Macaca mulatta: one gene and its partners. The protein of the gene in region 5 interacts with the protein of the main gene of each other region in a biochemical or structural test. Links are inferred from orthologs where the notes say so. Each region holds a gene or a part of one and is shown on either strand. Other genes may lie near its edges.

What was found.
Region 1: the proteins of APOE (region 5) and MAPT form a complex in vitro, tested with the Homo sapiens proteins (2 studies listed by BioGRID, with this or other methods). The link is inferred for Macaca mulatta from reciprocal best matches to the Homo sapiens genes APOE and MAPT.
Region 2: the proteins of APOE (region 5) and SNCA form a complex in vitro, tested with the Homo sapiens proteins (2 studies listed by BioGRID and IntAct). The link is inferred for Macaca mulatta from reciprocal best matches to the Homo sapiens genes APOE and SNCA.
Region 3: the proteins of APOE (region 5) and LRP8 form a complex in vitro, tested with the Homo sapiens proteins (2 studies listed by BioGRID). The link is inferred for Macaca mulatta from reciprocal best matches to the Homo sapiens genes APOE and LRP8.
Region 4: the proteins of APOE (region 5) and LDLR interact in a biophysical measurement, tested with the Homo sapiens proteins (2 studies listed by IntAct). The link is inferred for Macaca mulatta from reciprocal best matches to the Homo sapiens genes APOE and LDLR.

Annotation. Positions count from the first base shown.
Region 1 is NC_133421.1:70,921,594-70,927,569, forward strand, and holds part of MAPT (microtubule-associated protein tau), read left to right. Parts: intron 1-3,571; coding exon 3,572-3,787; 3' UTR 3,788-4,727; coding exon of another isoform or gene 4,728-4,799; 3' UTR 4,800-5,976. UniProt on the Homo sapiens protein: Promotes microtubule assembly and stability, and might be involved in the establishment and maintenance of neuronal polarity.
Region 2 is NC_133410.1:99,153,437-99,159,983, forward strand, and holds the start of SNCA (alpha-synuclein), read right to left. Parts: upstream 3,917-6,547; 5' UTR 3,728-3,916; intron 3,084-3,727; exon of another isoform or gene 3,018-3,083; intron 2,785-3,017; exon of another isoform or gene 2,581-2,784; intron 2,409-2,580; exon of another isoform or gene 2,364-2,408; intron 1,881-2,363; exon of another isoform or gene 1,747-1,880; intron 1,313-1,746; 5' UTR 1,288-1,312; coding exon 1,167-1,287; intron 1-1,166. UniProt on the Homo sapiens protein: Neuronal protein that plays several roles in synaptic activity such as regulation of synaptic vesicle trafficking and subsequent neurotransmitter release.
Region 3 is NC_133406.1:187,353,789-187,359,764, reverse strand, and holds part of LRP8 (low-density lipoprotein receptor-related protein 8), read right to left. Parts: intron 1,930-5,976; coding exon 1,757-1,929; intron 626-1,756; coding exon 449-625; intron 1-448. UniProt on the Homo sapiens protein: Cell surface receptor for Reelin (RELN) and apolipoprotein E (apoE)-containing ligands. LRP8 participates in transmitting the extracellular Reelin signal to intracellular signaling processes, by binding to DAB1 on its cytoplasmic tail.
Region 4 is NC_133424.1:11,836,276-11,842,251, reverse strand, and holds part of LDLR (low-density lipoprotein receptor), read right to left. Parts: intron 4,833-5,976; coding exon 4,710-4,832; intron 2,395-4,709; coding exon 2,014-2,394; intron 1,077-2,013; coding exon 954-1,076; intron 1-953.
Region 5 is NC_133424.1:57,410,127-57,416,558, reverse strand, and holds APOE (apolipoprotein E), read right to left. Parts: upstream 4,426-6,432; 5' UTR 4,173-4,425; intron 3,609-4,172; 5' UTR 3,586-3,608; coding exon 3,543-3,585; intron 2,101-3,542; coding exon 1,908-2,100; intron 1,290-1,907; coding exon 572-1,289; 3' UTR 428-571; downstream 1-427. UniProt on the Homo sapiens protein: APOE is an apolipoprotein, a protein associating with lipid particles, that mainly functions in lipoprotein-mediated lipid transport between organs via the plasma and interstitial fluids.

The DNA of each region.
Region 1 (5,976 bases), on a different chromosome or scaffold from region 5:
GTCCCTCCCACAACGTGTAGGAATTGTGGGAACTATAATTCAAGATGAGATTTGGGTGGGGTCACAGCCAAACCGTATCGGGGTGTCCCAGAAAGGGTGTGGGATCTGAGACCCAGCTCGGCGTGAGGAAGTTTGCTTCTCGAGGTGGCCCAGTCGGGTGGAAGTGGCAACCAGGCTGTCTCTCCACCAGGCCACTCAGGTGGCAGCTGAGAGACCCCTGCCCTGGTCAGTCTCCGCCCTCCCCTCTTGCCACTGCATCTGGTTCTGAACAGATGGGCACCCTCATCTTGTGTTTGTGATAAATGTCTAACCATGTAGTTTTGTGAGAAGTGTTTGCCGCAGATGCTGTAAACTGTGGCCTGGGGCAGACCTCACCTCCAGACAGGCCCTGAGGCTGGCGAGGGCACTGGTCCATAGTAGCTGGCCGAGAGCTCTCAGGTTGTGCCATGCAGGACACAGGGATACTTTTCAGTGCCTGGGTCACTATCCAAAGTGAGAAAACAGCGGGGGACCAGGAGGCTGCCCGCCTCAAGGGATGTGGGGGCCGGGCCCAGTTATCTGAGGAAGCAGTCAGCTTCTCTGCTGTTTCCACCACCCAGGCCGCCCCTGGTCTAAGGCAGGGCCTCCCAGCCTTGGGGCGCTTTAAAGATACCTGGGCCTGGCCCCGTCCCCACAGTCTGACTGAGTGGGTCGGGATAGGGGCATGGGCATTGGCGATTTCCTGGGTGAAGGGAGGCCCGCTGCAGTCTCTGGAAGCTTCTCTGTGTTAGGAAGAGCTCTGGGCTTGACTCTGCTCGGAGAGTCAAGATCCGCAAATCCTCTCAGCCTCAGTTTCTCCTTCAGCAAGATGAAATGGAAATGCTGTACCTACGTCCCAGGGTGGTTGTGAGACCCCCCCCCCCCAAAAAAAACAATGTTCTGGAAGGTTCCTGGTGCGTTGCAGTCCTCTAAGAACCTGAGTTAGAGCCATGCTGAGTCTCAGCTTCTTGGCTCCTTCTGTTTCCAACTTGTCCATGTGATGGCTCAGGAAGGTGGGCAGGGCCCTGCCCCTACTCAGAAAACATCATCCTGGTCCCAGGGATCCCCGCAGCGTTAGTCCCGTTTTCCGTGTGTTGAGAAAAATTGCTAACAAGCAGTGGGGCACACCACCAGCCTCCTGGGTTCCTTTCAGTTTGGGGATTTTTGGACATTCCCAGGAATGTCAACTTTCTCTTAAAAAACACTTCAAAAAACATTAACATAAATATTTTTATCAAAGCTTGTATTAAATGGTCTTTCAAGAAAATACAGTAACAGGCCAGGCATGGTGGCTCACGCCTGTAACCCCAGCACTTTGGGAGGCCAAGGCAGGCAGATCACCTGAAATCAGGAGTTCGACACCAGCCCGGCCAATGCAGCAGAACCCCGTCTCTACAAAAAATACAAAAATTAGCTGGGTGTGGTGGCACACACCTGTAGTCCCAGCTGCTCGGGAGGCCGAGGCAGAATTGCTTGATCCCGGGAGGTGGAGGTTGCAGTGAGCTGAGATTGCGCCACTGCACTCCAGCCTGGGTGACAAGAGTGAAACTTTGTCTAAAAAAAAAAAAAAAAGAAAAAGAAAAAGAAAATACACTAATAGAGAACAATCTGTTTTTCAAAGTAGTGACTGCAAATGAACAAAATATGCATCTAGCTTAAACGGGAGCATGGTTTTCTCTATGCCCATTCAAGCCTGCTGCAATAGGGGCCCTTCAGCCTGGATCCATGGACTCCTAAAATTATATGGAAAATGGCTGTGTGGGTGTGAGCGTGGGTGGACATGTGCACACATATTTTTGGCTTTACCAGATGCTCAAAGAGCCTAGGACCCAACAAGGGCTGAGGATAACCCTGTCGGCCGCTTCAGGGTCATCAGGAATTCCTGTGCGCTGCTCACTTCTCCAGTGAGCGCCTTCTGCGTCCGCGTTTCCTGGTATCCTTCGGGGCTCCTGGCTAGGTCATGTGTTTCTCTACTTTCTTTTTTTTTCTTTTTTTTTTTTTTGAGACGGAGTCTCGCTCTGCCACCCAGGCTGGAGTGCAGTGGCTGGATCTCAGCTCACTGCAAGCTCCGCCTCCCGGGTTCACGCCATTCTCCTGCCTCAGCCTCCCGAGTAGCTGGGACTACAGGCGCCCGCCACCTCGCCCGGCTAGTTTTTTGTATTTTTTTTTAGTAGAGACGGGGTTTCACCGTGTTAGCCAGGATGGTCTTGATCTCCTGACCTCGTGATCCGCCCATCTCGGCCTCCCAAAGTGCTGGGATTACAGGCTTGAGCCACCGCGCCCGGCCTGTTTCTCTACTTTCAAAAGGGCTTCAGCCAGGCACGGTGGCATGAGCCTGTAGTCCCAGCTGCCCGGGAGGTTCAGGTGGGAAGATTGCTTGAGCCCAGGAATTTGAGGCCAGCCTGGGCAAGTAGATAGATAGGTAGATGATAGATAGATAGGTAGATAGATAGATAGATAGATAGATAGATAGATAGATAGATGGATGTATAATAGATGGATAGATAAGTCGCTAGACAGACTCCATCCTAAATCACCCATCCACCCACCCACACATAAAAAGGCCTTTGTCATGTCATGTTTTGTGGCCCACCTGCCAGTGCTGCCCACAGTTGCTGCCCCTCCAAACTCATCAGTCACTGGCAAACAGGAGGAATGTGTGTGGCTCATGTCTGGGCATCAGTGGCTGTGGGAGACATCCTTGATCTTCTCCAGCTTCTCCTTCCACATTTTCCTTTGCAATCTGGCAATATCTATCAAAATAAAATGCGCATGCCTTTTGACCTAAGAGCTCCACTTCTAGGACACACTTACAGGTATGTGACATGATGTTCATTCAGGGTTATTTATCTGAGGTTGTTCATACACACCATTGCCTGTAATCACTAAAGGCGGGAGCAGCCTAGGCATCCATTCACAGAGGAGTAGACGCCTTTGGATACATCCGTGGTGACGGAATACTAAGCAGCCTGTGTACATATACACTCACACATGTGTTTGTTTATGTGTGGAATATCTCTGCAGGATACACAAGAAACTTAAAATGATCACTGTCTCTGGGGAGGGTACCTGGGTGCCTGGGAGGCAGGTCAGGGGAGGAGTGGGCACAGGGATTACGAATTGGAAGACAATAAAAACAACAGCTTCTGGCCAGGCACAGTGGCTCACGCCTGTAATGGCAGCACTCTGAGAGGCCGAGGCGGGCAGATTGCTTCCGCCCAAGAGTTCGAGACCAGCCTGGGCAACATAGTGAAACCCCGTTTCTATTAAAAATACAAAAAACTAGCCAGGTGTGGTGGAATGCACCTGTAATCCCAGCTACCCGGGAGGCTGAGGTGGGAGAATCACCTGAGCCTGGGAGGTTGAGGCTGCAGTGAGGTGAGATTGCACCACCTCACTCTAGCCTGGGTGATAGAGCAAGACCCTGTCTCAAAAACAAATAAACAACAGTCCCTGGCACTGTGGGCCAGGCCTGGCAGGGCAGTTGGCAGGGCTGGTCTCTCTTTCTCTGGCACTTCATCTCACCCTCCCTCCCTTCCTCTTCTCCTTGCAGATTGAAACCCACAAGCTGACCTTCCGCGAGAACGCCAAAGCCAAGACAGACCACGGGGCGGAAATCGTGTACAAGTCGCCGGTGGTGTCTGGGGACACGTCTCCACGGCACCTCAGCAATGTCTCCTCCACCGGCAGCATCGACATGGTAGACTCGCCCCAGCTCGCCACGCTAGCCGACGAGGTGTCTGCCTCCCTGGCCAAGCAGGGTTTGTGATCAGGCCCCCGGGGCGGTCAATAATCGTGGAGAGAAGAGAGAGTGAGAGTGTGGAAAAAAAAAGAATAATGACCCGGCCCCGCCCTCTGCCCCCAGCTGCTCCTCGCAGTTCGGTTAATCGGTTCATCACTTAACCGGCTTTTATCGCTCGGCTTTGGCTCGGGACTTCAAAATCAGTGATGGGAATAAGAGCAAATTGCATCTTTCCAAATTGATCGGTGGGCTAATAATAAAATATTTTTTAAAAAACATTCAAAAACATGGCCACACCCAACATTTCCTCGGGCAATTCCTTTTGATTCTTTTTTTTTCCCCCTCCATGTAGAAGAGGGAGAAGGAGAGGCTGTGAAAGCTGCTTCGGGGGGATTTCAAGAGACTGGGGGTGCCCACCGCCTCTGGCCCTGTCGTGGGGGTGTCACAGAGGCAGCGGCAGCAACAAAGGATTTGAAACTTGGTGTGTTCGTGGAGCCACAGGCAGACGATGTCAACCTTGTGTGAGTGTGACGGGTGGGGGTGGGGCGGGAGGCCATGGGGGAGGCCAAGGCAGGGGCTGGGCAGAGGGGAGAGGAAGGACGAGAAGGGGGAGTGGGAGAGGAAGCCACATGCTGGAGAGGAGATGCCCTCCTCCGCGCCACTGGGAGGGCCAAGGCCTCCGCCACCTGCAGTGTCTCAGACTGAGCGGCTGCCTGTCCTTGGTGGCCAGGGTCTGCTGCGAGTTGATGTGCCACCCTCTGCAGGGCAGCCTGTGGGAGAAGGGGCGGCGGGTAAGAAGAGAAGGCAAGCTGGCGGGAGGGTGGCACCCCGTGGATGACCTCCTTGGAAAAGACTGACCTTGATGTCGGAGGGCGCTGGCCTCTTCCTCCCTCCCTGCAGGGTAGGGGGCCTGAGCAGAGGGGCTTCCCTCTGCTCCACAGAAACCCTGTTTTATTGAGTTCTGAAGGTTGGAACTGCAGCCATGATTTTGGCCACTTTGCAGACCTGGGACTTTAGGGCTAACCAGTTCTCTTTGTAAAGACTTGTGCCTCTTGGGAGACGTCCACCCGTTTCCAAGCCTGGGCCACCGGCATCTCTGGAGTGTGCAGGGGTCTGGGAGGTGGGTCCCGAGCCCCCTGTCCTTCCCACGGCCACTGCAGTCACCCCTGTCTGCCCCACTGTGCTGTCGTCTGCCATGAGAACCCAGTCACTGCCTATACCCCTCATCACGCCACAATGTCCAAATTCCCAGCCTCACCACCCCCCTTCTCAGTAAGGACCCTGGTTGGCTGTGGGAGGCACCTACTCCATACTGAGGGTGAAATTAAGGGAAGGTAAAGTCCAGGCACAAGAGTGGGACCCCAGCCTCTCACTCTCAGTTCCACTCATCCAACTGGGTCCCTCACCACGAATCTCACGACCTGATTCGGTTCCCTGCCTCCTCCTCCCATCACAGATGTGAGCCAGGGCACTGCTCAGCTGTGACCCTCGGTGTTTCTGCCTTGTTGACATAGAGAGAGCCCTTTCCCCCCGAGAAGGCCTGGCCTCTTCCTGTGCTGAGCCCGCAGCAGGAGGCTGGGTGTCCTGGTTGTCGGTGACGGCACCAGGATGGGCGGGCAAGGCACCCAGGGCAGGCCCACAGTCCCGCTGTCCCCCACTTGCACCCCAGCTTGTGGCTGCCAGCCTCCCAGACAGCCCAGCCCGCTGCTCAGCTCCACATGTGTAGAATCAGCCCTCCACATCCCAAAAAGGGGAACACACCCCCTTCGAAATGGTTTTCTCCCCGGTCCCAGCTGGAAGCCATGCTGTCTGTTCTGCTGGAGCAGCTGAACATATACATAGATGTTGCCCTGCCCTCCCCATCTGCACCCTGTTGCGTTGTAGTTGGATTTGTCTGTTTATGCTTGGATTCACCAGAGTGACTATGATAGTGAAAAGAAAAAAAAAAAAAAAAAAAAGGACGCATGTATCTTGAAATGCTTGTAAAGAGGTTTCTAACCCACCCTCACAAGGTGTCTCTCACCCCCACGCTGGGACGCGTGTGGCCTGTGTGGCGCCGCCCTGCTGGGGCCTCCCAAGGTTTGAAAGGCTTTCCTCAGCATCCGGGACCCAACAGAGACCAGATTCTAGCATCTAAGGAGGCCGTTCAGCTGTGAAGAAGGCCTGAAGCACAGGATTAGGACTGAAGCGATGACATCTCCTTCCCTACTTCCCCT
Region 2 (6,547 bases), on a different chromosome or scaffold from region 5:
CTGCAGTTCAGCCTGGGCGACAGAGCAAGACCCTGACTCTAAAAATTGAAAATAGAAAACAGAAAAAAAAAATGTGTTGTGAAATTTGATGAGACGCATTCATATAACTCATTCCAAATATAAAATTTTCCCCACTGATCTATCTTGAAGAGATAATGTAGCTTTCTTTCGCTTTGCAGACATAGACGGAGCATGTGTTTCAGCTAGGCAACTCAATGTGCTCATCCTCCACCTGACGGTTCATCCTGTGACTCTAACTGCTTATAGTTGCCACCAGAGAATGTGAAAAAGCTCAGAGGAGAAAGAAGAGAGGAAGAATGGGCAATGTGTCTATGTTGAGTGTGTGTGTGTGTCTGTGTCTATGCCTGTGGATGAGAGCGTGTGTGTCTATTCTTTTCCAAAGAATTCAAAGTGGTTTGTAAAATAACATGCAATTGAACACAATTCAAGATACAGAAAAGAGAGTCAGAGCTTGGGTGTATACCCCAAGGTGGAACTTTAGGAACAAGTAGGTAATAAGCATCAATTTCTTTATTCTTTCAGTATGTTTGTCATTTGATGGATGAACTGTATCAATGTTTCTGAGAGGTCAGTAGCAGCCCTCAAGCACTTTTCTCTGTCCTCAGTGTTCAGAGAGACCAAATGATCACATGAAGTAACTCTACCAAAGACTAATCTGTTGTTTCCATTTTAGGGCCACAAATAGGTCTCTTTATACACAGCACAGGGGCATATCAAAGTCATATTTTAAAAATCAGAATGGGTTAAAATTGACAAACATTATTCATGATGGTAAAAGAAATCACAGACCCAGCAATGATTTTGATTCTTAAGAATATTCTTGATTTTTTAAAAAGACAATGTATTTTTAAAACTGTTCTCTGAAATGTAATTATGTAGGCACAGAAGCATTCATTTTTCAAAAGTCCTAAATATTAGGGCAAAATTAAAAATATCGAAAAGGAAACAGCCGCATTTTTTACTATTAGCTCAAATACACACATTCACATTCACCTACCTACATATACCTCTGACTCAGTCCACCCTTTTGACAAGCAATGATGCAAAAATGAATCAAGAGAGAGAACTACCAGCATTTAGAGTATTGATTATCCTAACCCATCAGTCATGAACCAACACCAAAGTGACATTTGGGGTTTACCTACCTACATAGAGAACACCCTCTTTTGTCTTTCCTGCTGCTTCTGCCACACCCTGTTTGGTTTTCTCAGCAGCAGCCACAACTCCCTCCTTGGCCTTTGAAAGTCCTTTCATGAATACATCCATGGCTAATGAATTCCTTTACACCACACTGGAGAACATAAAATACACTTTGAATGAGAACTTTTGGGGGAAAATAAACAAAAAACACTGAAAAATCATGAGAAACCCTCCAAAGTGTGAGACTCTTTTAAGTGTACACTCATTTAACCATTGGACAAAGCAGACATTTTTAGCTCTGGCATTAAAAATTTAGCATCTCCCATCCATCTTGGCTAGTAAAAGTCTAGCCACCTAACCATGGATTAGGATGAATCCTCTGAGTTGTTAATACTGCATTTCAGAAGTGGAGTTGCATGAAAAGAGTCACTCCTGTTTTAACTTCCCGGGGTCTAAAGGGTAACAGTGTGAGTTAGAAGCATGGAAGCTGGAGGCTTAGGGTCTGGGGCATCCTTAACATGAATCCCAGAAGAAGGCTAACAGGTTGATGGTGGAGAGGCGTAGGCAAGAGAACTAACTACTCACTCTGGGTGTGGTTCAACCTCAGGCAAACAGCGAGCCCAAGGGTGCTGGTTCTAATACATCCGAGCATCCACCCCCGCCCTCAGATATCTACCCTGAGCAGGCGGCGCTCACACTCGCGGGCCGTCTCTAACCCTGCGCCAGCCACCCGAGGGGGCGTTCTCAGCATCCACCCTAGCGGACCCCGCGCCAGCACTTGTTAACCCTTTACCACCTGTTGACTTGGCCTCCCTGCACTTCCATTTCATTATTTGCCAAAGGCAGCTTGCTTACTTTACAGAGAAAAACCAAGAGAGCGGGCAGACGGATTTCAGGTAAGAGAGAAATAAAAGTTGGATGCTTACGCTCCAGGGAGCATCCTCGCGTTTCCCGGGGAAAAGCGGATCCCGGAGACGCATCCTAATCTCTCAGCCCTTGGGGAGAAGCCCTTGACAGGACGAAAGCCAGGTCAAGTCTCTTTCCTTAGGCTCCCCAAAGGGACAAGTACTCACCTCCCAGAGACCTGGCACAGCAGGTCCTCACCGCAGCACCACCCCCTCCTGGTGCCCACGACCATTCCTCTCCCACCCGGCTTTCTCCAGGATTTCCAAAGACGCCCGTTTAGATCCACAGGTACTTACCTGTGTCCCTCTGCTTCTCCACAACTCCGATTCCTCCCTACCTCTCTTTAAAAAAAAAAAAAATTAAACAATTCCCAAATAATATTTAATAGGGAAGAAGGAGGAAAAGGAGCGCACAGGAAGGGCGGAGGCGGCACCGGGAGGGGGACGGTCCCCAGAGGAGGCCGCTGTGAGCCGACGACGGGAGGCTGGGGGCGTGGGAGGCAAACCCGCTAACCTGTCGTCGAATGGCCACTCCCAGTTCTCCGCTCACGAGGATGGAGAAAAAGGCAGAAGGTTTGAAGGGAAGGCGTGAGGGAGCGCTCAGGACGCTCTCGGAGGGGCCGGGCCGGGGTCTGCGCTGCAGCCCGCACGCACCTCACTCCCGCGTCGCGGCGCTCGGTCGCTCGCCCCCTCTCTCGGGCCCCTTCTGGTCGTCGCCGTCCTCCTCCTCCTCGTCCTCCTCCTTCTCCTTCTCCTCGGCTCTCCGCCCCCACCGCTGATTTGTCAGCGCCTCTCCACGCTCCCCTCCCAGCGCTCGCTGCTTTCCCTGCAGCGTGCTCTTCGTTCCCTATCTCGGATGGGGATGGGGCAGGGGGCGCAGGGTGAACCACCAATTCCAGCCGCCTGCCTGGCCGCGCAAGGCGGGAAAGTGGGGGCGCTTTTGCGCCTCACCTCAAGTTCAGGGTCACGGGCACTCTTGTGGCGATTGGGAGCGGTTGGGCTTGGGCTGACGACTCTCCCTCTTTCCCATTCCCCTCCCTTCCTGTCCCCGCCTTTCCTCCGGGTCCTCCCTGGGACCACCCCCTACCCCTCGTCAGAGTCGACCTGGGAGAGCTGAGGGCCTGAGGGTCGACCACCCAGAGCAGAGCCTATCCTTTGGGGAGACAGGCAGCGCAGGGAGGTGGCTCACACCGCACCGCCGAGAGCACTTTGCCCTCGCATCGCTGACATTTAATCACGGTCACAGGCTACGTTAAGGGTCGCTTTAGTTCAAATATCCTCAAGATTTTCGTTTGCTCTTAATCCAGGTCGAGCTCGAAAGGGTCCCGCGGGTGAATCGGAGACTACTAAGGAAGAGTTACAGGTTGAGGAGGCAGGAGGAGGCTCAGCAAATCCTCTTCCCACCCCACTATCACCATTTTCCTTTCCACCAATCAGCGCCTGCCAGACGCTGATTTTCCCATCAGCGGAACGAGGAATAAATATTCCCCAGCCGTCTAAAACAAGCGGTCCTAAGGCTTTTCGCTCTAGAAATGGGACTTACTTTGCAGACCTAAGTGCATGGTCTGGTAGACAAATCCAGCGTGATTTACCCTACCAGACCATCATATCCAATTTCTTTTTCAGCCCCTTCTGAAAGGGAGATGCTACACGCCACTCACCTTTCTGACTTCTAATTCTCGTTGCCCTCAGAATTGACATCCCCTTTTCTCTCCCCCGACCCACCACATGCACAGACACACAGACGTACACACGCGAACCTCAAGACAATTTTTGCATCGCTTAACACATTTTCACCTCTTTCAGAACTGGAAGACAGCTATTCCTGGATCACACCAGAATGGAGAAGCAAGCTCCTCCCACTAGCAGAAAGCCTTTGCTTTCTGTGCCTGGATTCCGAAGATTAGTTAAGCACTGGTGGGGGCCGGCGGGGGGGGCGGGGACAACAGCTCGTTTTTGCTGTGTTTTTTAAAAATTGTTTTTATGTTTGTAGCTAATGCTTTGTCTGATTCTTGCACTCATTTGGATTCTGAAATTTGAGTAAAATCAAATGTAAACATACAAAACAACTTTAAAACCACAAGGAATAGTAAACAAATGATTATACATGAAAGACATATAGAAGATAATGCCTATGTGTTCAGTGGAAAATAGAAAAACATGAAAGTAAGATTACAAATTTTTATTACTTAAACTCTTCCTTGAACTATTGGTCTGCCCTTTGGAAAAACAGACTTTCCATAACGCAGTAGCTCATATTAATAGTTTGTGTTTGCTTAGGACCAGAGCAAGAAGGTTGGACTTGGGAGCTAGTTTGTTGTCTGGCTTGGAGACCTTGAACAAGTTATGTTCTCCTTCTGTTTCCAGTTTTATTTTTTGTAAATGAGGAGATGAACTCAGGTGATCGCCCTATATTCAACTTTTTGTTATGGGAAATATTCAAACATACGCAAAAGTAGAAAGAATAAAGGACTCCCATGTGAATATCACCCAACTTTTACATTTTTTCTATGCATGGCATATCATGTCTCATTCATAAGTCCACTCACTTTATCACTACCAATCCTCCCTATTTTTTTTCACAAAATTCAAGCTTTATATACATCTTTTCAACTGTAAACATTCAGTATGCATCCACAAAATTTAAGAACTGTTTAAAAATAACCACAATGTCATTAGACGATTCTTTTAAATTTCAGTGTAATTTACACCTAGTGAAATGCTCAGATGTTGTGTCCCTTTAAATCAGTTTTGAAAAAACCATGCATTGGTGTAACCCACACTATTTTGAAGACACAGGACATTTTCATCACTCCAGACAGTTACCTTGCACCCTTCATGTGCATATTCTAGAATGTCATAAAAGTCTAATCACGTAGTATAAACTTTTTTATATCTGTCTGACTTCTTTTACTCAGCATAGTATTTGTGAGGTGATTCATGTCATTGCATGAATCGGTGGTTTGTTTTTTATTGCTTTTTGTTGTTTCTTTTTATTATTGTTAATAGTGTAAGTTTTCCATTGTGTCTTATTACAACTAGTACTTCAATAGGCTATTACAACAATTATTTAATATATTATTTCATATGACATATTTATAGTATAACAGTGACCTCTTTGAGACCTGGTGCTTTGAGTCAAATAGGTAAATAAAATGCGATATTTTAGGTCTCATTACCAGACCAATGTGAGATAATTATTTTTGGACAGTTGCATTTCTTATAACATTTGACATGATTCTACACTTTTATATGGTAATTTGTTAGTACTTTCGCAAAGGACTAATGTACTATGTTATTTAGTCATAACAAGCAGATAAATTACATTTTATGTAGCTTTTACAGACAGAGAACCTGAGCTCCAAGAGCTTTGGTGATAGGCTGAGATCATCTAGCTTTTTTAAGTGGCAGAACTGTGACAATTTAGCAGAAACTGTTACAGAAGGCACAATTGTCTCCTGAATTAGCGATTTCTGTCTGAAGCCTCACAGATTGGGTGTGGTAAAGGGTGAGAATGAAAAGGGTAGAACCCAGCTGTGTTAGAAATAGCCTTCAAATTTGGATGTGACAATGGAAATCAAGATGAACTTATGTTATTATAAAACAGTTCATTCATATTTAAAGTTTTGCCTTTTGTATACTGGTATTTCTCAATAGGGGGAGACGCTTTCTCACTACCCACAAAAAAAGAAAACTGTAAACTAATTTCATTGTCATTTTGAACTACAACTATATGTTTAACTTTTTTCACTCCTCAAAATGCCTTGAACACAGTAAACATCCAATGAGCTTTTAATTACAAGTAATATTGATAGTGATACTGCATATGTTCTAGATCTGTGTTCTTAAGGAGGCAAAGCTGCTCAAGTTCAAAGAAGGGAACTAGAAGTTAAAATAAAGATTTTTTTATTTTTGTTTTCATTATTGATGTACGGCATTGTCTTCAGTCAATCTTTAGCCTCTCTGAATATAATGTTAAACTAACTGAATGGCTTGTACCCCATAAGAAATATGAAATAAGAACGTGGAAGCATTACTAGCATGCATGTTCTCTTCATAACTACCATATTCAAGTTTGGTTTTCTTTTTGCTAAGTGAGATATAAATATTTTACCACACCTTAATACGATTGTTTTATCTGGATTTAATTCATTAATTTTGCTCTAGATTAACATTCTGTGAAATATATGCTTAACCTAGACTTTGTCTACCTCCATAGAACAACTGAATTTTTAGGTATGGTATGTGGTAAACTTGTGCTATAGCAAAGACAGCAGAGTAGAATGGCATGAAAATAAAGACGCTGCCTACTAACAAATGATTAAAGAGAGGTCTGATTGAATGTGTTTAAGTGAAGACAATACAATCTTTACTGTGTTTGGATAATATTCCATATTTGTTGTGAACTCAAGGGGTGATGTAATGTTGATGCTGGAGCCACCTGCTTCTTATTCTCTATCTGCACCTTCCTCTCACCTTCT
Region 3 (5,976 bases), on a different chromosome or scaffold from region 5:
CAGTGAGCAGAAAGAAGTGACTGAGATCACAGGGCTGTGGAAGGATGGAACTGGGAATTTTCTTACTCCAAGTTCAGTGCTTCTTCCACTGTGCCCCCTCTGATCTTCAAAAATTGGTCAAGCAACTATTTTTTTTGGACTGGCCGAGGTTAAGGATCCTCAAGGCCGTCTGCTAACCCTCCTCATTTGCTCCATCTCATTTCCCATGTCTCCCCTTCATGAACAATTTGCCTCAGCAGCAATTCTGTCTGCTCTGCTCCAAACTTGATCGCTTTCTTCCACATGCCATTCATTGGTCTGTGACTAACCCATTTTTCTTCTTTGCTCCAACACCCAGCTTACAATTTGCAGCCTTCCCAAACCAGAAAGCCTTCTAGGATTGGCTGCGCCTGCCTTGGTTCATGCCCTCACTCACCAGCCCCTCAGACTTAGAGTGGCACTGCCCTACCTTGGACTTGACGACAGGCAGCTCGGAAAGAGGGTTCCTCGGGAGTTGGTGCAGCTGTGACCTTGGTTCCCCCGGCAAGACAAAAAGCTCCTTGAGGGCAGGGGCTGGGTCTTCCAGTTCTCTGGTCTCCCCAAGACAGGGCTCTGCCCACAGTGGGCGATCAAAGCTGCTGATTGCCTGACAGGGGGATGGCACTGTGGATGACCTCTGAGGTCACACTCAGCCCCCTGACTCTGCTGTATAACAGTGACACCTGTTGTGCCACTTCATGGTCCTCATTCCCCCAAAAAGCCATGCTGTGTTGTGCCTTTAAGCCTTTGCACATGCCTCTATCTGGAATGCCATTTCCCTCCTTCTCTCCTGGGAAAACTGCTATTAATCTTTCAAGGACATAGTCCATCTGTCACCTTCTCTGTGAGGCATTCCTTGCCTGATTCTCCAGACAGAATTCATAGCTCCCTTGTTGATGTTTCCATAGCATCTATTCAACAAATATTTGTTGGGAGTCAGCCATACTGTGCTAGACATCAGGAAAACAGATTAATCAGACAGTTCTGCCCTCAAGGATCTTAGGGTTTAGTGAGGAGACCACTGAGTAAAAGACAAGTGGACTACAGTGTGATAGGGGCTGTGAGGCAGAGAGGCCCGGAGGACTGTGGGAGAACAAAGCAAGCCAAGGATAGCTTTCTAGAAGAGGGGACTCCTGAGCTTCCACCACGGCACTCAGCACACAATTATACCACTGTATGTTAGTATCTCTAACTCCCTACCAACTTCTTGGGAGCAAGCACATTCCTTATTGACTTTTGAATACTTGATATCTAATGTGCTTGGCACATAACTGGCATACAGTATTGAAATGAATACATTTGAATTAAATGGCCACAGTTACCCTTCCAGGCCAAAGGTTCTGAAAATTTACTGAGCAGAAAGAGACATTTGGCTTTTTTACTGCCAGGAAAAGCCTCTAGGTACAAGGTGGTCCTGATACCTTTTTACCTTAACCACCTACCCCAGCATTTCTGTGTTCCCCAGGGCCTAGAACAGTGCCTGATACATGGTACGTTCTCGATAAATGTTTCAGGAAGGGAGGAAGGAGGAAGGGAAGGAGGGAGGAAAGGAAGGAAAGAAGGAAAGAAAAAAGACAGGGAGGGAGGGAAGGACAGAAGGAAGGAAGGGAGGGAGGGAAGGACAGAAGGAAGGAAGGGAGGGAAGAAAGGATGGGAAGGAAGAAAGGATGGGAGGAGAAGAAAGGATGGAAGGGAAGATGGTCAGAAGGTAGGAATTCTCCCAGTGAGAAATACTTACTGCAGGATAGACATGGCCAATCTGAGCAGTCCTCCCTATATGGAGCTCATCTTCATCTTCTTCTTCTGTTGTTTTCCTGTAGACTGGGTTGTCAAAATTCATGCTTTTGGTGTTCTTCCGCTTCCAGTTTCTCCAGATCAGGTATCCACTCATGCACAGCAGGGCTATCACCACTGGAGGAAGGACACAGGAGATTGGACCTCCAGCAGGCTCCAGCCCACTGCTCAGACATCAGTGCAAGGCTTGTCACCACTCCACCTTTCCTGCCCCTTGCTCCTCAGGCTCTGTTTCTGCATGTTCTTTTTCTGCTGTTTGAAAGCCCATCTCTCATCCCTTCTTTCCCTTATTAACTATTCATCCTTAAAGATCCTGCTCAAATGTGAAGTCTTCCCCAACTGTGGGCAGAGGCAGTTGCTCTCTCATGTGTGCTCCCAGATCACACACAGTATCTTACTTTATGTATCTGTACTCCCAACTAGATAGCTCTTTCAAGGCAGGGACTGTGTCTTTTTTTTTTTTTTTTTTTTTTTAACTCTTTATGCCCAGTTCCTAGCACTGAGTAGGTGCCTAGTAACGTGCTGAATGAATGAGTGAATTTTACCACACCTTTGCCCTAATGCTGCTGCTTCCCTACATTTCTCTAAGAAAACCATTCTCTCCCAAAACTGGGGGGTGGAGAGTGGGATGGGGCCAGGTACAGTGTTTATTTCCAAAGGTGAGGCTCCACCTGAAGAAGAACATCTCTAGAAGGAGACACAGAGGGCAACATAAGCTGTGATTTAGAATAAATGAATATGTTAATGATTAAAGGAGGAAGCTCTGTCCAACAGAGCTGGGTAAAAATGGAGCAAGTAGCTCGTAAGGTGGTTAGCAGTCACTCAGTATCCCAATGGAGGCTGAATGATCACCTATCTAGGATGGTATAGAAGGGGTTTCCGTTTTAGTAAGATTACAATAATTGATATGCACTAAAGACAGAAACAAGGCAGTTACCACTGGTAATATTTATTGTCCTAGAGATCTAGCTATGCAGTAAGGCCAGAAAAACATTTAAGAGTATAAATATGGGAAAGGAGGCCAGGTACAGTGGCTCACACCTGTAATCCCAACACTTTGGGAGGCTGAGGCAGGCAGATTACTTGAGGCCAGGAGTTCGAGACAGGCCTGGCCAACATGGTGAAAACCCATTTCTACAAAAAATATAAAGTAGCTGGGCATGGTGGTGGGCACCTGTAGTCCCAGCTACTCAGAAGGCTGAGGTGGGAGGATTGCTTGAACCTGGGAGGTCGAGACTGCAGTGAGCCACAGTAGTGCCACTGCACTCCAGCCTGGGCAACAGAGGGAGACCTTATCTCAAAATAAATAAATAAATAAATAAATAAATAAATAAGAGAAAGGAGGAAACCAAACTCTTATTAACAGCTATTTATATTTTTAGGAACTCTGAACCTGGTGAAAAACTATCAGAAATAATCTTAGTTAATCAAGAATCAACATAAAAGATCATTACCTTCTTTTTTAATCAGCAAGAACCAATTGGAAAATGTAACGAAGGCCAGACATGGTGGCTTACACATGTAATACCAACATTTTGGGAGGCTGAGGCAGGAAGATTGCTTGAACCCAGGAGTTCAAGACCAGCCTGGGCAAGATGGTGAGTGAGCCCTGGTCTTTACAAAAAAAAATAATTTAAAAAATTAGCCAGGTGTGGTGGTGCATGCCTGTAGTCCCAGCTACTCTAGTCCCAGCTACTCGGGATGCTGATGTGGGAGAATCCCTTGAGCCCAGGAGTTCAAGGATGCAGTGAACTGTGATTGCACCATTGCACTCCAGCCTGGGCAAGAGTGCAAGATCTTCTTGTCTCTTAAAAAAAAAAAAAAAAAAAAAAAAAAAAAAAAAGAGAAAGAACATGTAATGGAATAAAAATAAATTCATAATAGCCCATCAAAAAGCTATAAAATATAAAATACCTAGGAAAATCTAAGAAGAAATATGCAAGTCCTATGTGATCTATAAAGTTCTGCTGAAGGACATAAAAGAAGACTGAAATAAATAGATATGCCACATTTCTGGCTGGGAAGCTTTAATATAATAAAAATGTATATTCTCCTCACATAAACTCATATATCTAAAGCAATCTTGATAATTTCACCAAAATTTTTATAGAATTGATAAGGTTATTCTGAAGTTCACTTAGAAGAGAAACTGAATAAAAATAACTGAGAAGATGTTGTGAGTGTAACATATCATGAAGTTCTGCTAATAGTATGTAGGAATATATAAATCGGTGGAGGAAGATAAACTGCTTAGACACAAATCAAAGTATGTATGGGATGTAGTTTATAATAAAGATGACAGTGCAAGTCAGGAGAGAAGTATAGATTATTCAATGATGGTTTTGGGGAAACTAGACAGGTATATAGAGAAAAAACAAGTAAATTTCTACCTCATCCCATATTCTAAAATTTAAATTCCAAATAGGTTAATATCTAAGTACTAAAAAAAGTTTAAAGTAGAAAAGAAAAACATCAGAAGATATTTTAATAATTTAGAGTGAGGCAGGCCTTCTTAAGCGAAACACAAAACCCAGAAATCTTAAAAGATTGACAGATCTGATACTTAAAAGTTTTATATTTATGCATGGCAAAAGATACCATAAACAAACTTTAAAACCAAATGTCAGACTGGAAGAAAATATTTGTAGCATGTATTTTAAAGATTTAATATTCATCATGTATAAATATTTCTATAAATAAGAAAAAATAGCCAATAGAAAAATGAGAAAAGACTGTGAGTAGGCAGTTCATAACAGATAAAATATAAGTAAAGGGACTGATAAGCTTATGAAAAGATACTCTACCTCACAGGGACGTGTCAGGGAAATAATACTCATCTTTCATTCCTCAGATTAGCAGAAATTAAAAATATTGATTATTTCAGAGTGAGTTATGTCAGCAAAACAGCATACATCTGCCTCTTTCTATAGGGCAAAGGATGGCAAGAAAGGGGTGCATTTATCTTTCTCCACTCCAGTCAAAATAATCCTGGAATAGTCATCTCACTATCATCTTTCCTGGTGAAGCCTTTCAAGGCCAATTCAAATGCCGTCTTCTCCAGAAGCGCCACTTTTACTCTGGAATTACCTTTCTTTCAACCATCCCTTCACAGGAGTATCATGCCACTGTTACATTGTTCCTCTGTATCTACATCCAAAATGCCCCTATTTTAGCACATTATGACATGTATTAACATCTACCTCAAAGGACTTTATTTTTGCCTGATTAAACACTGAAAGCTCTTAAAGTCTTTATCTTTTTCTTCCCTGGATCCTTGGCACTTGGCATAGTGTCTCACACAGGGGAGAAGTTTTTAAAACATTTGCTGACTAACTCACCATACTGAAGATTCCCAGGATAAAAGGACAAAGTTCCTGTCCTTGAAGTACTCATAGCCAAGTAAGGGAGATAAAGCTCTGAATGGACAATCAGAATGCAAAGATACTGCTAAGAGATGAGACTGCTAAGAGAGGGGTGTACAGGATACTGTGTGGACTTCGGGGTGGAAGAGAATGAATCAGCCCCCTTGATTCTCTGTGAGGGCTTAACCAAGTGTTATATTCTGGCCGTACTCATCTCCTTCTAGCTCTAAAACCACCCCACCCTGACCCTTCCAGGCCATTTCCTACTCCTGGCTTTATTCATGCTGTCTTCACTGCTTGGACTGCTCTTGATCCTCCTTCACTTGGCTGACCCAGCTCAAATATCACTTCCGTTAGGAAACCTCCTCTGCCCTCTTCCCCTCTCCCTCAGCCCAAGCTAAGTGTATCCTCAGCACTGTCTCTGAAGTCAGTGCATGCAGCTTAACCTTAGGACCCACCAGGTCATAACAAACTTACCTGTGTTATGTGGGTCTCTCCAACAAGACTATAAACTTTTATAGGACAGAACCATGTCTTATTCATCTTTAACTGCCTTTCCTCCTGTTATCACAGAGTTTGGCACATAGTAGCTGCTTAATAAATACTTGTTGAAAACCAAACAGAAAGAAAACAAGACAGTATGACCTATTAAAGGAACGGTAAGCAGCTCTATTCATTAATTCAACAAATCCTTGATTTCCTACCATGTGCCAGACATTGCTAGGAGCTGGGGAGAATGGTGAGCAAGATACCAGCCCTATTCCTAGGGATCATACAGTCACACTTCACGTGGCTGGAGTGT
Region 4 (5,976 bases), about 46 Mb from region 5:
TAATAGTTTATTCACATAAGAACGCATGCAAATGGACTCATTAAGAAAGCGCATCGGGTCCGGGCGCGGTGGCTCAAGCCTGTAGTCCCAGCACTTTGGGAGGCTGAGGCGGGCGGATCACGAGGTCAGGAGATCGAGACCATCCTGGCTGACACGGTGAAACCCCGTCTCTACTAAAAAATACAAAAAACTAGCCGGGCGAGGTGGCGGGCGCCTGTAGTCCCAGCTACTGGGGAGGCTGAGGCAGGAGAGTTGCGTGAACCCGGGAGGCGGAGCCTGCAGTGAGCTGAGATCCGGCCACTGCACTCCAGCCTGGGCGGCAGAGCGAGACTCCGTCTCAAAAAAAAAAAAAAAAAAAAAAAAAAAGAAAGCGCATCGGGCACAGAGGTTTGCGCCTGTAATCCCAGCACTTTGGGAGGCCGAGGCAGGCAGATCGCTTGAGCCCAGGAGTTCGAGACAAGCCTGGGCAATATGGTAAAACCGCATCTCTACTAAAAATACAAAACAATGAGGCCTGGGGTGGTGGCTCATACCTGTAATCCCAGCACTTTGGGAGACCAAGGCAGGTGGATCACCTGAGGACAGGAGTTCAAGACCAGCCTGGCCAACATGGTGTAACCCTGTCTCTAATAAAAATACAAAAAATTAGCCTGGCATGGTGGCATATGCTTTGAATCTCAGCTACTCGGGAGGCTGAGGCAGGAGAATCACTGGAACCCCAGAGGCAGAGGCTGCCGTGAGCTGTGATTGTGCCACACTACTCCAGCCTGGGTGACAGAGCGAGGCTCCATCTAAAAACAAAGGAAGTGAGGCTCTGGGAACTCAGGTCACTTGCCCACAGACACACAGCTGGTGCAGAGTTGACCAGGGAAGTGCCCTCTGGCTTCACAAATCATTTGCAAGCAGTAAGGCACGGAGAATGGGGGATGGGAAAGCAGATGGCCAGCGCTCACCGTTAATGCAGCCAACTTCATCGCTCATGTCCTTGCAGTCATATTCCCGGTCACACTGCCGGCTGCCATGGATGCAAGTTCCATCAGAGCACTGGAATTCATCAGGGCGACAGGTGGCCACAGCTGGAAAACAGGACAGAGTGTGTTGATTTTCTCAAGAAGAGACAACCAGAGGCTGGGCGCAGTGGCTCAAGCCTGTAATCCCAGCACTTTGGGAGGCCGAGACAGGCGGATCACGAGGTCAGGAGATCGAGACCATCTTGGCTAACACGGTGAAACCCCGTCTCTACTAAAAAATACAAAAAACTAGCCAGGCGAGGTGGCGGGCGCCTGTAGTCCCAGCTACTCGGGAGGTTGAGGCAGGAGAATGGCGTAAACCCAGGAGGCGAAGCTTGCAGTGAGCCGAGATCCGGCCACTGCACTCCAGCCTGGGCAACAGAGCGAGACTCCGTCTCAAAAAAAAAAAAAAAAAAAAAAAAGAGGCTGGATGCGGCAGTGCACGCCTATAATCCCAGCACTTTGGGAGGCTAAGGCAGATGGATCATCTGAGGTCAAGAGTTTGCGACCAGCCTGACTACCATGGTGAAACCCCATCTCTACTAAATACAACAAAAAATAGCTGGACGTGGTGGTGCATGCCTGTAATCCAAACTACTTGGGAGGCTGAGACAGGAGAAACACTTATACCTGGGAAGCAGAGATTGCAGTGAGCCGAGATCGCGCCATTGCACTGCAGCCTGAGCAACAAGAGCGAAACTCCGTCTCAAAACAAAAACAAACAACAAAAAACAACCAGCACCTTCCAAACAGTGACTTCCCAATAAGCCAACAGGAACCATCACCTGGGGCCTCATGGATGCAGGAAATTTAGAGACGAAAAAAATCAGAGTGAGACTCCACCTCAAAAAAAGAAAAAAACATGAAATGGGAACCACTTTCTTGGCATGTTGTTCGAAATCCACTTCAGCACCTAAATCATCGCATGTCCCACACCCGGGGGAGCCCAGGGACAGGTGATAGGACGCCCCGCTCCCGCCCCAGGCCCCGCCCCTGTCCTTACGGCAATTCTCCTCGTCAGACTTGTCCTTGCAGTCGGGGCCTCCATCACAGCGCCAGCCAGAGTGGATGCACTCGCCACTTCGACAGTGGAACTCGAAGGCCGAGCAGGGGCTACTGTCCCTTTTGGGCACTTCAAGACCCTGACAGTGCTGAGGCCACTCATCCGAGCCATCTTCGCAGTCGGGGTCGTTGTCGCAGGCCCACAGCTGGGGGATGCAGGTGGAGCTGTTACACTGGAAGCTGGCAGGGCCGCAGGTAAGCACCGGGCAGGAGGCCTCGTCCGAGCCGTCCAAGCAGTCCCGGTCTGAGTCACAGACGAACTGCCGGTAGATGCATTTCCCATCGTGGCAGCGAAACTCGTCCTGGGAGCACGTCTTGGGGGCTGCAGGGATGGATGGGCCGTGACCACCGTCACCGTGAAGTCTCCCAACACTAGCCCATTCTATAGCCGGGGACGCTGCCACAGAAACGCCAGGCGCCTGGAGAGGCGGGCTGGGGAGCAGTCAGGGGCCATGGACTCTGAACCACTGCCCTCTCAGTGCCTCAGTTTCCTCATCTGTACACATCTCCCAGCACTGCTCTGAGGACTGGTGCGTTAATAGGTGTAAAGCTGTTAAACTGAGAACTGCAAGACGGTGGCACCATTTATAGAATTCCTGTCCTTATTTTGGGTTGAGTATCACTTCTCTAAAATGCTTGGGACCAGTGGTGCAGTGAGCCGAGACTGCACCACTGAACTCCAGCCTGGGCAACAGAGTGAGACTCGGTCTCAAAAAATTGAAGAAAAAAAAAAAAAAAGGCAGCTGTAGGTAAAGAAACGCAGATTTATTCGAGAAAGTAGGAAAATACCTTGCAAGAAAGCAATGAGCAGGTCAGCAAGGGAGGAGCTGACTGCCAGGAGACAAAGGCTTGCTGGGGATTTTTTTTTTTTTTTGAGAAGTCGTCTCACTCTTGTCCCCCAGGCTGGAGTGTGATGGCACGGTCTTAGCTCACCGCAACCTCCACCTCCCAGGTTCAAGCGATTCTCCTGCCTCAGTCTTCCAAGTAGCTGGGACTACAGGCACCTGCCACTATGCCTGGATAATTTTTGTGTATTTTTAGTAGGGACAGGGTTTTATGATTGTGGCCAGGCTGGTCTCAAACTCCTGACCTCAGATGATCAGCCCGCCTCAGCCTCCCAAAGTGCTGGGATTACAGGTGTGAGCCACCGCACCCGGCTGCTGGCTGGAGATTTTATAGAATGGTGCTTGTGCTGTGCGCTGAAGGGGGCGTTGTGCAGTCCCTATGATGCCAAGGTTGCAGTGCGCTAACCTGCAATTTTCTATCAGCCAACGTGTCTGCTGATACCTGGGCACAGGAAGATTGGGAGTTATTTACACAGGAGAGCTATGTGTTCTGGACCATGAAGAAAGGCAGACTTATATAGTTTATCTGCCTTCTTTTTTTTTTGAGACGGTGTCTCGCTGTGTTGCCCAGTCTGGAGTGCAGTGGTGCCATCTCGGTTCACTGCAAGCTCCACCTCCTGGATTCACACCATTCTCCTGCCTCAGCCTCCCGAGTAGCTGGGACTACAGACACCCGCCACCACACCCAGCTAATTTTTTGTATTTTTAGTAGAGAAGGGGTTTCACCGTGTTAGCCAGGATGGTCTTGATCTCCTGACCTCCTGATCCACCCACCTCGGCCTCCCAAAGTGCTGGGATTACAGGCATGAGCCACCATGCCCAGCCTTCTTTTTTTTTTTTTTTGATATAGATTTTCACTCTTGTCCCCCAGGCTGGAGTGCAATGGTGTGATCTTGGCTTACTGCAACCTCTGCCTCCCAGGTTCAAGTGATTCTCCTGTCTCAGCCTCCCGAGTAGCTGGGATTACAGGCACACACCACCATGCCTGGCTAATTTTTGTATTTTTAGTAGAGACGGGGTTTCACCATGTTGGCCAAGATGGTCTTGAACTCCTGACCTCAAGTGATTCACCCGCCTCAGCCTCTCAAAGGGTTGGGATTACAGGCGTGAGCCACTGCACTCGACTCTATCTGCCTTCTTTTATTGCTTTCCCTTGGTTTGACCAGCCTGGCTTTTTCCTAATTAGGACTCCACATTTAATGGTAAAAATTCGAAATCCAAAATGCTCCAATAAGCATTCTCTTCTAAATGTCAGTGCTCAAGACGTTTCAGAATTTTGGGTGCTCAAGACTTTGAATTTCGGGTTTTTGGATTTGGGATATGCCACTTGTATTAAGACAGCCAAGAAGATGCCCAGCTCCAAAGCCCATTTCCCTTTGGGATTCTTGGCCTTCCTCCTTGGCAGAACTTTCTAGCTTTTTCCCCTTCACGTTACCTGGGTCATTGAGGCGTGGCTAGCAAGTGTCACTATGTGTTCAGCCTCACGGGGCGGGGATCACGGCCACTGGGGATCACAGTGGCTTGCCAGTGTGTGTGCCAGGTGGCCAGCCCTCGGCAGGGATGGTGTCCCTGACTGTGCGCGACAAACCGAAGAGGTGGCACTATCCCTGGTCTGTAATGCCTCCTGGTCAGGGAGGGATTTGAGGGGCAGAAGAGGCTTGGTATGAGCCCCCAAGAGATGGAGCCCAGTTCAGGGCAGCTGCCTTGCAGCTTAAGCAGGACCCTGTAGAGACAGTCAGACCACTCCCCAGGACCCAGATGGGCTCAATAGTAAAGGCAGGGCCACACTTACGACAGTCTTGCTCATCTGATCCGTTCTCACAGTCCACTTCGCCATCACACCTCCAGAACTGAGGAATGCAGCGGTTGACACGGCCCCCGCAGCTGAAGTCCCCGGATTTGCAGGTGACAGACACTATAGAAGAGACAGGATTGACCTGTCACTCAAAGCAAAGACCCACTGAGGCTGAGCACAGTGGCTCACGCCTGTAATCCTAGCACTTTGGGAGGCCAAGGCGGGTAGATCACCTGAAGTCAGGGATTCAAGACCAGCCTGGTCAACATGTCAACATGGTGAAACCCCGTCTCGACTAAAAATACAAAAATTAGCTGGGCGTGGTGGTGGATGCCTGTAGTCCCAGCTACTTGGGAGGCTGAGGCGGGAGAATCACTTGAACCCAGGAGGCGGAGGTTGCAGTGAGCCGAGATCCCACCACTGCACTCCAGCCTGGGTGGCAGAGTGAGACTCCGTCACAAGACAGAAAAAAAAAGACGGCCGGGCGCGGTGGCTCAAGCCTGTAATCCCAGCACTTTGGGAGGCTGAGACAGGCGGATCACAAGGTCAGGAGATTGAGACCATCCTGGCTAACACGGTGAAACCCCGTCTCTACTAAAAAATACAAAAAAAAAACTAGCCGGGCGAGGTGGCGGGCGCCTGTAGTCCCAGCTACTGAGGAGGCTGAGGCAGGAGAATGGCGTGAACCCGGGAGGCGGAGCTTGCAGTGAGCTGAGATCCGGCCACTGCACTCCAGCCTGGGCGACAGAGCGAGACTCCGTCTCAAAAAAAAAAAAAAACAAAAGACCCACTGGCCTCGCCAATTCTCTCTTTGCAAAGGAAAACCCCAGAACTTTGAAGAGAATGCCAATCCCACTTTTTTTTTTTTTAAGTAGAGATGAAGTTTTTTTTTTTTTTTTTTTTTTTGAGACGGAGTCTCACGCTGTTGCCCAGACTGGAGTGCAGTGGCGCGATCTCGGCTCACTGCAAGCTCCGCCTCCTGGGTTCACGCCATTCTCCTGCCTCAGCCTCCTGAGTAGCTAGGACTACAGGCGCCCGCCACCACGCCCGGCTAATTTTTTGTATTTTTAGTAGAGACGGGGTTTCACTGTGGTCTCGATCGAGATGAAGTTTCATCATGTTGACCAGGCTGGTCTCAAACTCATGGCCTCAAGTGATCCACCCACCTCAGCCTCCCAAAGTGCTGGGATTCTAGGCATGAGCCACCATGTCTGGCCTCCCATTCATTTAAAAAAAAATTACATATGGGCCGGGCGCATTGGCT
Region 5 (6,432 bases):
AGAGGCCAGGCACAGTGGCTCAGGCCTGTAATCTCAGCCCTTTGGGAGGCCGGTGGGTGGGTCACTTAGTCAGGAGTTTGAGACCAGCCTGGCCAACATGGTGAAAGCTTGTCTCTACTAAAAATACAAAAATTAGCTGGATGTGGTGGCATGAGCCTGTAATCCTAGCTATTGAGGCAGGAGAATCGCTTGAACCCAAGAGGCAGAGGTTGCAGTGAGCCAAGATCACGCCACTGCACTCCAGCCTGGGTGACAGAGCCAGACTCCATCTTAAAAAAAAAAAAAAAAAAAAAAAAGGCAGAGAGAAAGATACAGACACGCAAACACAGACAGAGAGGAGGGGGCTGAGAACTGTGTGGCCAGTGTGCGGGCAGAAAGAGAAACTGAGGCTGGGGCTTAGAGGAAATCACACAGGGAGGCCAGCAGATGCGGTGAAACTTGGCGAATCTTTATTAAACTAGGGCCCACCCCTGGAGGACGGCTGGGGCGGGGACAGGGTCTCCCGCTGCAGGCTGAGCGGAGAGAGGAGGCATGGGGTGGAGTCGGGTCGCATGGCTGTAGGCCTGGGCGTTCAGTGATTGTCGCTGGGCACAGGGGCGGTGCTGGCGCCCACGGCAGCCTGCACCTTCTCCACCAGCCCAGCCCACTGGCGCTGCATATCTTCCACCAGGGGCTCGAACCAGCTCTTGAGGCGGGCCTGGAAGGCCTCGGCCTGCAGGCTTATCTGCTGGGCCTGTTCCTCCAGCTTGGCGCGCACCTCCGCCACCTGCTCCTTCACCTCGTCCAGGCGGTCGCGGGTCCGGCTGCCCATCTCCTCCATCCGTGCGCGAAGCCGCTCACCCAAGGCCTGGGCCCGCTCCTGAAGCGGCTGGCTGGCCAGGGAGCCCACAGTGGCGGCCCGCACGCGGCCCTGCTCCACCAGGGGTCCCAGGCGCTCGCGGATGGCGCTGACCCCGCGCTCGGCGCCCTCGCGGGCCCCGGCCTGATACACTGCCAGGCGCTTCTGCAGGTCATCAGCATCGCGGAGGAGCCGCTTGCGCAGCTTGCGCAGGTGGGAGGCGAGGCGCGCCCGCAGCTCCTCGGTACTCTGGCCCAGCATGGCCTGCACCTCGCTGCGGTACTGCACCAGGCGGCTGCGCACGTCCTCCATGTCGGCACCCAGCCGGGCCTGCGCCGCCTGCAGCTCCTTGGACAGCCGTGCCCGCGTCTCCTCCGCCACCGGGCTCAGCTGTTCCTCCAGTTCCGATTTGTAGGCCTTCAACTCCTTCATGGTCTCATCCATCAGCGTCCTGCAGCCGAAAGAGCAGGAGGGTGTGCGCACAGGGGGAGGCGAGAAGGGCTGGGATAGGTGTGGGTGAGATGGGGATCAGCCAGAGAGACCCGAGAAGGAAGAGAGGAGAGTCTCCTAAGGAGAACAGGGAGAGACAGAAGGGCAGTGAACCAAGAGAGAAGGAACGGGACAGAGGCAGAGAGGAGACAAAGACAGACGCAGAGAGCAGAGGCAGAGACGAAGAAAGAGCTAGGAGGCCGGGCAAGGTGGCTCATGTCTTTATTCCCAGCACTTTGGGAGGCGAGGTGGGAGGATCGCTTGAGCCCAGAAGTTCAAGACCAGCCTGGGCAACACAGTGAGACCCCATCTCTCTGTCTCTATATAAAAGAGCTAGTGAAGGACAGAGACAGAGCCAGGACGAGTGTGAGAGGCTGAGTCAGAAGGGAAGAGGGAGAAACAGAACTGAGAGAGAGAATTCCAGAGAGCTAAAGCCAGGAGTCAGAAATGGGAAGAGGAAGCTAGAACCAGCAGAGACCCAGGACTCCCAAGACTTAGTGGCAGGGGCAGAATGAAACCTGGACCTGGGGAGGTATAGCCGCCCACCAGAAGGGTCAAGGGCCGGGATGGGGACACTCACGTCAGTTCCTGGGTGACCTGGGGGCTGAGCAGCTCCTCCTGCACCTGCTCAGACAGTGTCTGCACCCAGCGCAGGTAATCCCAAAAGCGACCCAGTGCCAGCTCCCAGGGCTGGCCGCTCTGCCCCTCAGCCTGCTGGCGAAGCTCGGGTTCCGTCTCTGGCTCCACCGGTTGCTCCACCTTGGCCTGGCATCCTGTGTGGAACAAGTTGAAGGTGGTTCAGGTTCCTTCTGACCCCGTCCAGGCACCTAGTACCTAGGGGCACACAGAAGGTGCTCCACAAATGCTGCTTTGGAGCCATGGTGGGCAGGGTGAGGGGGGAGTCTGTTTAATCACTTGAAAAGCGTTATTTATTTACAGACAGGGTCTTGCTCTGTCACCCAGGCTGGATTGCAGTGGCCTGAACATGGTTCACTGCAACCTTGACCTTCTGGGCTCAAGCAATCCTCCTGCCTCAGCCTCCTGAGTAGCTGGGACCACAGGTGTGTGGCACCAGGCCTGGCTAATTTTTGTATTTTTAGTAGAGACAGAGTCTCACTATGTTGCCGAGTCTGGTGTTGAACTCCTGGGCTCAAGTGATCCTCCCACCTTGGCCTCCCAAAATGCTGGGATTACAGGGGTGAGCCACCGTGCCTAGCGGAAAAGCATGTATTGAGTGTCCTTGTGTGTCCCAGGCAGGGCTGTGTGGGGTGATGGAGAATAAAGATCACAGCTGTCCCGTGTCTGGTATTCTAATGCAATGCATTAGAAGCCTCTTAACTCCCAGCTGGGCGCGGTGGCCCATGCCTGTAATCCCAGCACTTTGGGAGGTTGAAGCAGGCAGATCACCTGAGGTCAGGAGTTCCAGACCAGCCTGGCCAACATGGTGAAACCCCGTCTCTACTAAAAATACAAAAAAAGTTAGTCAGGTGTGGTGGCATGTTCCTGTAGTCCCAGCTACTCCGGAGGCTGAGGCAGGAGAATGGCATGAACCTGGGAGGGGGAGCTTGCAGTGAGCTGAGATCCTGCCACTGAACTGCAGCCTGGGAGCCACCGCACTCCAGCCTGGGCGACAGAGGGACTTCATCTCAAAACAAAACAAAAACAAAAACTTCTAACTCCTATATTAAGGATGGGGAGGCCGGGCGCGGTGGCTCACGCCTGTAATTCCAGCACTTTGGGAGGCCAAGGCGGGCAGATCACGAGGTCAGGAGATAGAGACCATCCTGGATAATACAGTGAAACCCCTTCTCTACTCAAAGTACAAAAAATTAGCCGGGCATGGTGGCGGGCGCCTGTAGTCCCAGCTACTCGGGAGGCTGAGGCGGGAGAATAGCGTGAACCCGGGAGGCGGAGCTTGCAGTGAGCTGAGATTGTGCCACTGCACTCCAGCCGGGGCGACAGAGTGAGACTCTGGCTCAAAAAAAAAAAAAAAAAAAAAAAAAGCGGGGGCAGGAAACCGAGGCTCACAGAGCGTCAAATCGCTGTTCTGAGCCAGAAAGCAGCATAGAAGCCTCAGACCTGGGCTTTCCCCTCAAGGGGAAGACAGACCAGCAGAAGAAGAGGGGGCCCGAGGTCTGCCTGAATGGGGCCAGGAGGTTGAGGTGAGGATGAGAGGGGGAGGAGCAGGGAAACCGAGCAAGCCCCGCCCCCATACCTGCCAGGAATGTGACCAGCAACGCAGCCCACAGAACCTTCATCTTCCTGCCTGTGATTGGCCAGTCTGGGGAGGGAGAAACAGTCAATCAACCGCCAGTAAGGACTCCTCCCACTCCCAGCCCGACCCCAACCCGGCCCCACCCCAGGTTAGCCTTCCAAGCCTAGTTCCATTATCTGCAACAGCCTAATCCTAGCACAAACAGTTACCAAGCCGCCCCCAACCCATTCCCTATTTAACTCCCTCCTGGTCTTCTCTTATTTCCCCATCCCCAGGTCGGCCTCCATAGTCAAAATTCCATCTTTCTCTCCCGGGGTTCAAATTCCACACCCCCTCCCCCTCCCCACCGCCGGTTCCATCTCAGTCCCAGTCTCGCATTCCTCATTCTCCCTTCACATTCTAAGCTCTAACCTCACATTTAAGCGCCGTTTTCCATTTATGAGCTAATTCAGTCCTCATTTTAAAGTTCTCCAATCGACGGCTAGCTACCGTGTCGCTGCCCCTGGCTTCCCTGTTATGGAGATCTGAGGACACTGGGGACACCCAGTAGGTGCTCGATAAATGACAGTGACAACTCGTGGGGGTCCTGCTGTGGCTTAGCTCCTAGTCCACATGCTCTGCCCACCCCACCTTCTAGCGGGTCGGGTCGTCTCTGCTGCCCAGCCCTTACCAGGTCCAGTCCCCTGCTGCTGGCCTCACCCCCGCTCCTCCTATCCCCAAGCCCGACCTCGAGTAGCTCTCCTGAGACTACCTGGAGGCCAGGGCTTCCCGAGGTCCCAGCTACATCTTTCTAGAGGCCCCTGAGCTCATCCCCGTGCCCCCGACTGCGCTTCTCACCGGCTCCTGGGGAAGAACGTCCTTCACCTCCGCTGGGGCTGAGTAGGACTCAAGGATCCCAGACTTGTCCAATTATAGGGCTCCCCCTGTCCCGCCCCCTCCTCCAGGGATAGGGCGGGCTGGGCCAGCCCCCAGTCACGAGGTGGGCTGTTCTCCCCCTGCCCCAGGCACAGCAGGGCAGAGGGAGGAGGTGGGGCATAGAGGCCTTTTGACCACCCCCCACAGTCCCCAGGAAGTGAGGACACCTCGCCCAGTAATCCAGACACCCTCCTCCATTCTGGGGGCCAAGCGTCGAAGGGGAATGTGCAGGCTGCCGCCCAGAGTCCTCCTTCCCTGACCCTGTCCTTTCCTGTGCCTGGATGAATGCAATCTGGAGAGGGGGCTGGGGATCTGGACTCCTGGATCCCAGAAAGAAAGTAGGGATAGGGGGCTGGACAGAAGTGGGATGGGAGGGGCTGGGCGCGGTAGCTCACGCCTGTAATCCCAGCACTTTGGGAGGCCACGGTGGGCGGAACACTTAAGGTCAGGAGTTTGAGACCGGCCTGGCCAACATGGTGAAACCCCATCACTACTAAAAATACAAAAATTAGCCAGGCGTGGTGGCGGGCGCATGTAATCCTAGCTACTTGGGAGGCTGAGGCAGGAGAATCACTTGAACCCGGGAGGTGGAAGTTACAGTGAGCCGAAGTCTCGCCACTGCACTCCAGCCTGAGCAAGAGTGATGCTTTCTAAAAAGAAAAACAAAAAAAGAAAAAGAAAAAAGAAAAGAAAGTGGTGCTAGGCGACTGGACAGAAGTGGGATGGGAGGGGGGTGGGAACAGTGTGGTGCATCTGCTAAAAGTCTAGGCTTTGCGAGTGGGACCTGGGTTTTAATCATAGCTTCCTCTTTGGTTGTGACCTTGAGCACAGGGGACCCACCCCTCCCCACGTGTAAAATGAGATTCCAGCACCTCCCCCTGGCTGCCACAGGCATTGTGGTTTCCAGGGTCTTGAAGCTGTGCTTCTGGGTTAAGGTTAGGATTCTGGAGTCAAACTGCCAGGGCTTGAATCCTGACTCTGCCAGTTGCCAGCTGTGTGACCTTGGGCAAATGACTTGTCCTCTCTGAGCATCGGGTTCCTTTGCTCATCAGACTGGGAAAGCAGTGACACGGATATGTTTGGTGACAAGCTAACGTGTATGGAGCACGGAGGACAGCCTTGGCACAGTGGTCCTGTTAGGGCTAGCAATGGACAGGCCGCAGTGAGCGCTCAGATGCTGTCTTTTTCCTAACAGCCCTGTTATAAATCCCAGATGTTTCAGAGGAGAAACCCGTGGTTCAGCAGCGAGATGAATGGCAAAGTCACACATCGAGAACTGGAGTGGGTGGGATCAGAGGATTCTGCGAGTCAGGGGAGGCTGGACTCCTGGTCCCGGGAAGGAACCCCCAGTGCCAGGCCGGGCCTGTTTGCTTTGGCTGGCAGGGGGTGGCTGAGGTGGCTTCTGTGGGTAACTTGGGGTCAGCTCTACTCAGCAGCCTCCCTCCCTAGACCCTGGGGGTAGACAGGGTTTCAGTTCCCGGAGGCTCGGGAGTGGTGCTGGTGGTGTTGGGTGTCAGCTGACACCAGCCCTAGGTTGGCAAAATCCAGACAGCACCACATCCTCAGACATAGGTGACCCAACCCCCATGGCTGCACAAGGAGCCTAGTCTGGCCTAGGCCCCTCCTCTCATGCCTGCAAGTCCTTGAGCCCCTTCTTCCCGACACAGCAGTTCCTAGTACCCTAGTTGTTCTGAAGCTGTTCCAGTAGCTTGAACCTTCTCCCAGCTCCCTGCCCCCCCATGTCTGCACTCAGAGTGTGTCATCTCTGCTGCTGCAGTTTGCAGGGACAAAGTCTTCTATAGCCACTCCGGCCAGGTCAAGCTGGGGCGAGTGACCTTGAGACCCTACCCTCGGACGACAGAAGGCCCGAGGTGTCCCCCAGCAGGGAAGATGTTCCGGATGGGGAGACCGCGATCCCGGGCCACGCTGCGCCCCTCTGAGCCGGACTCAATGCAGCGTCAAGCCAGGCAGTGGT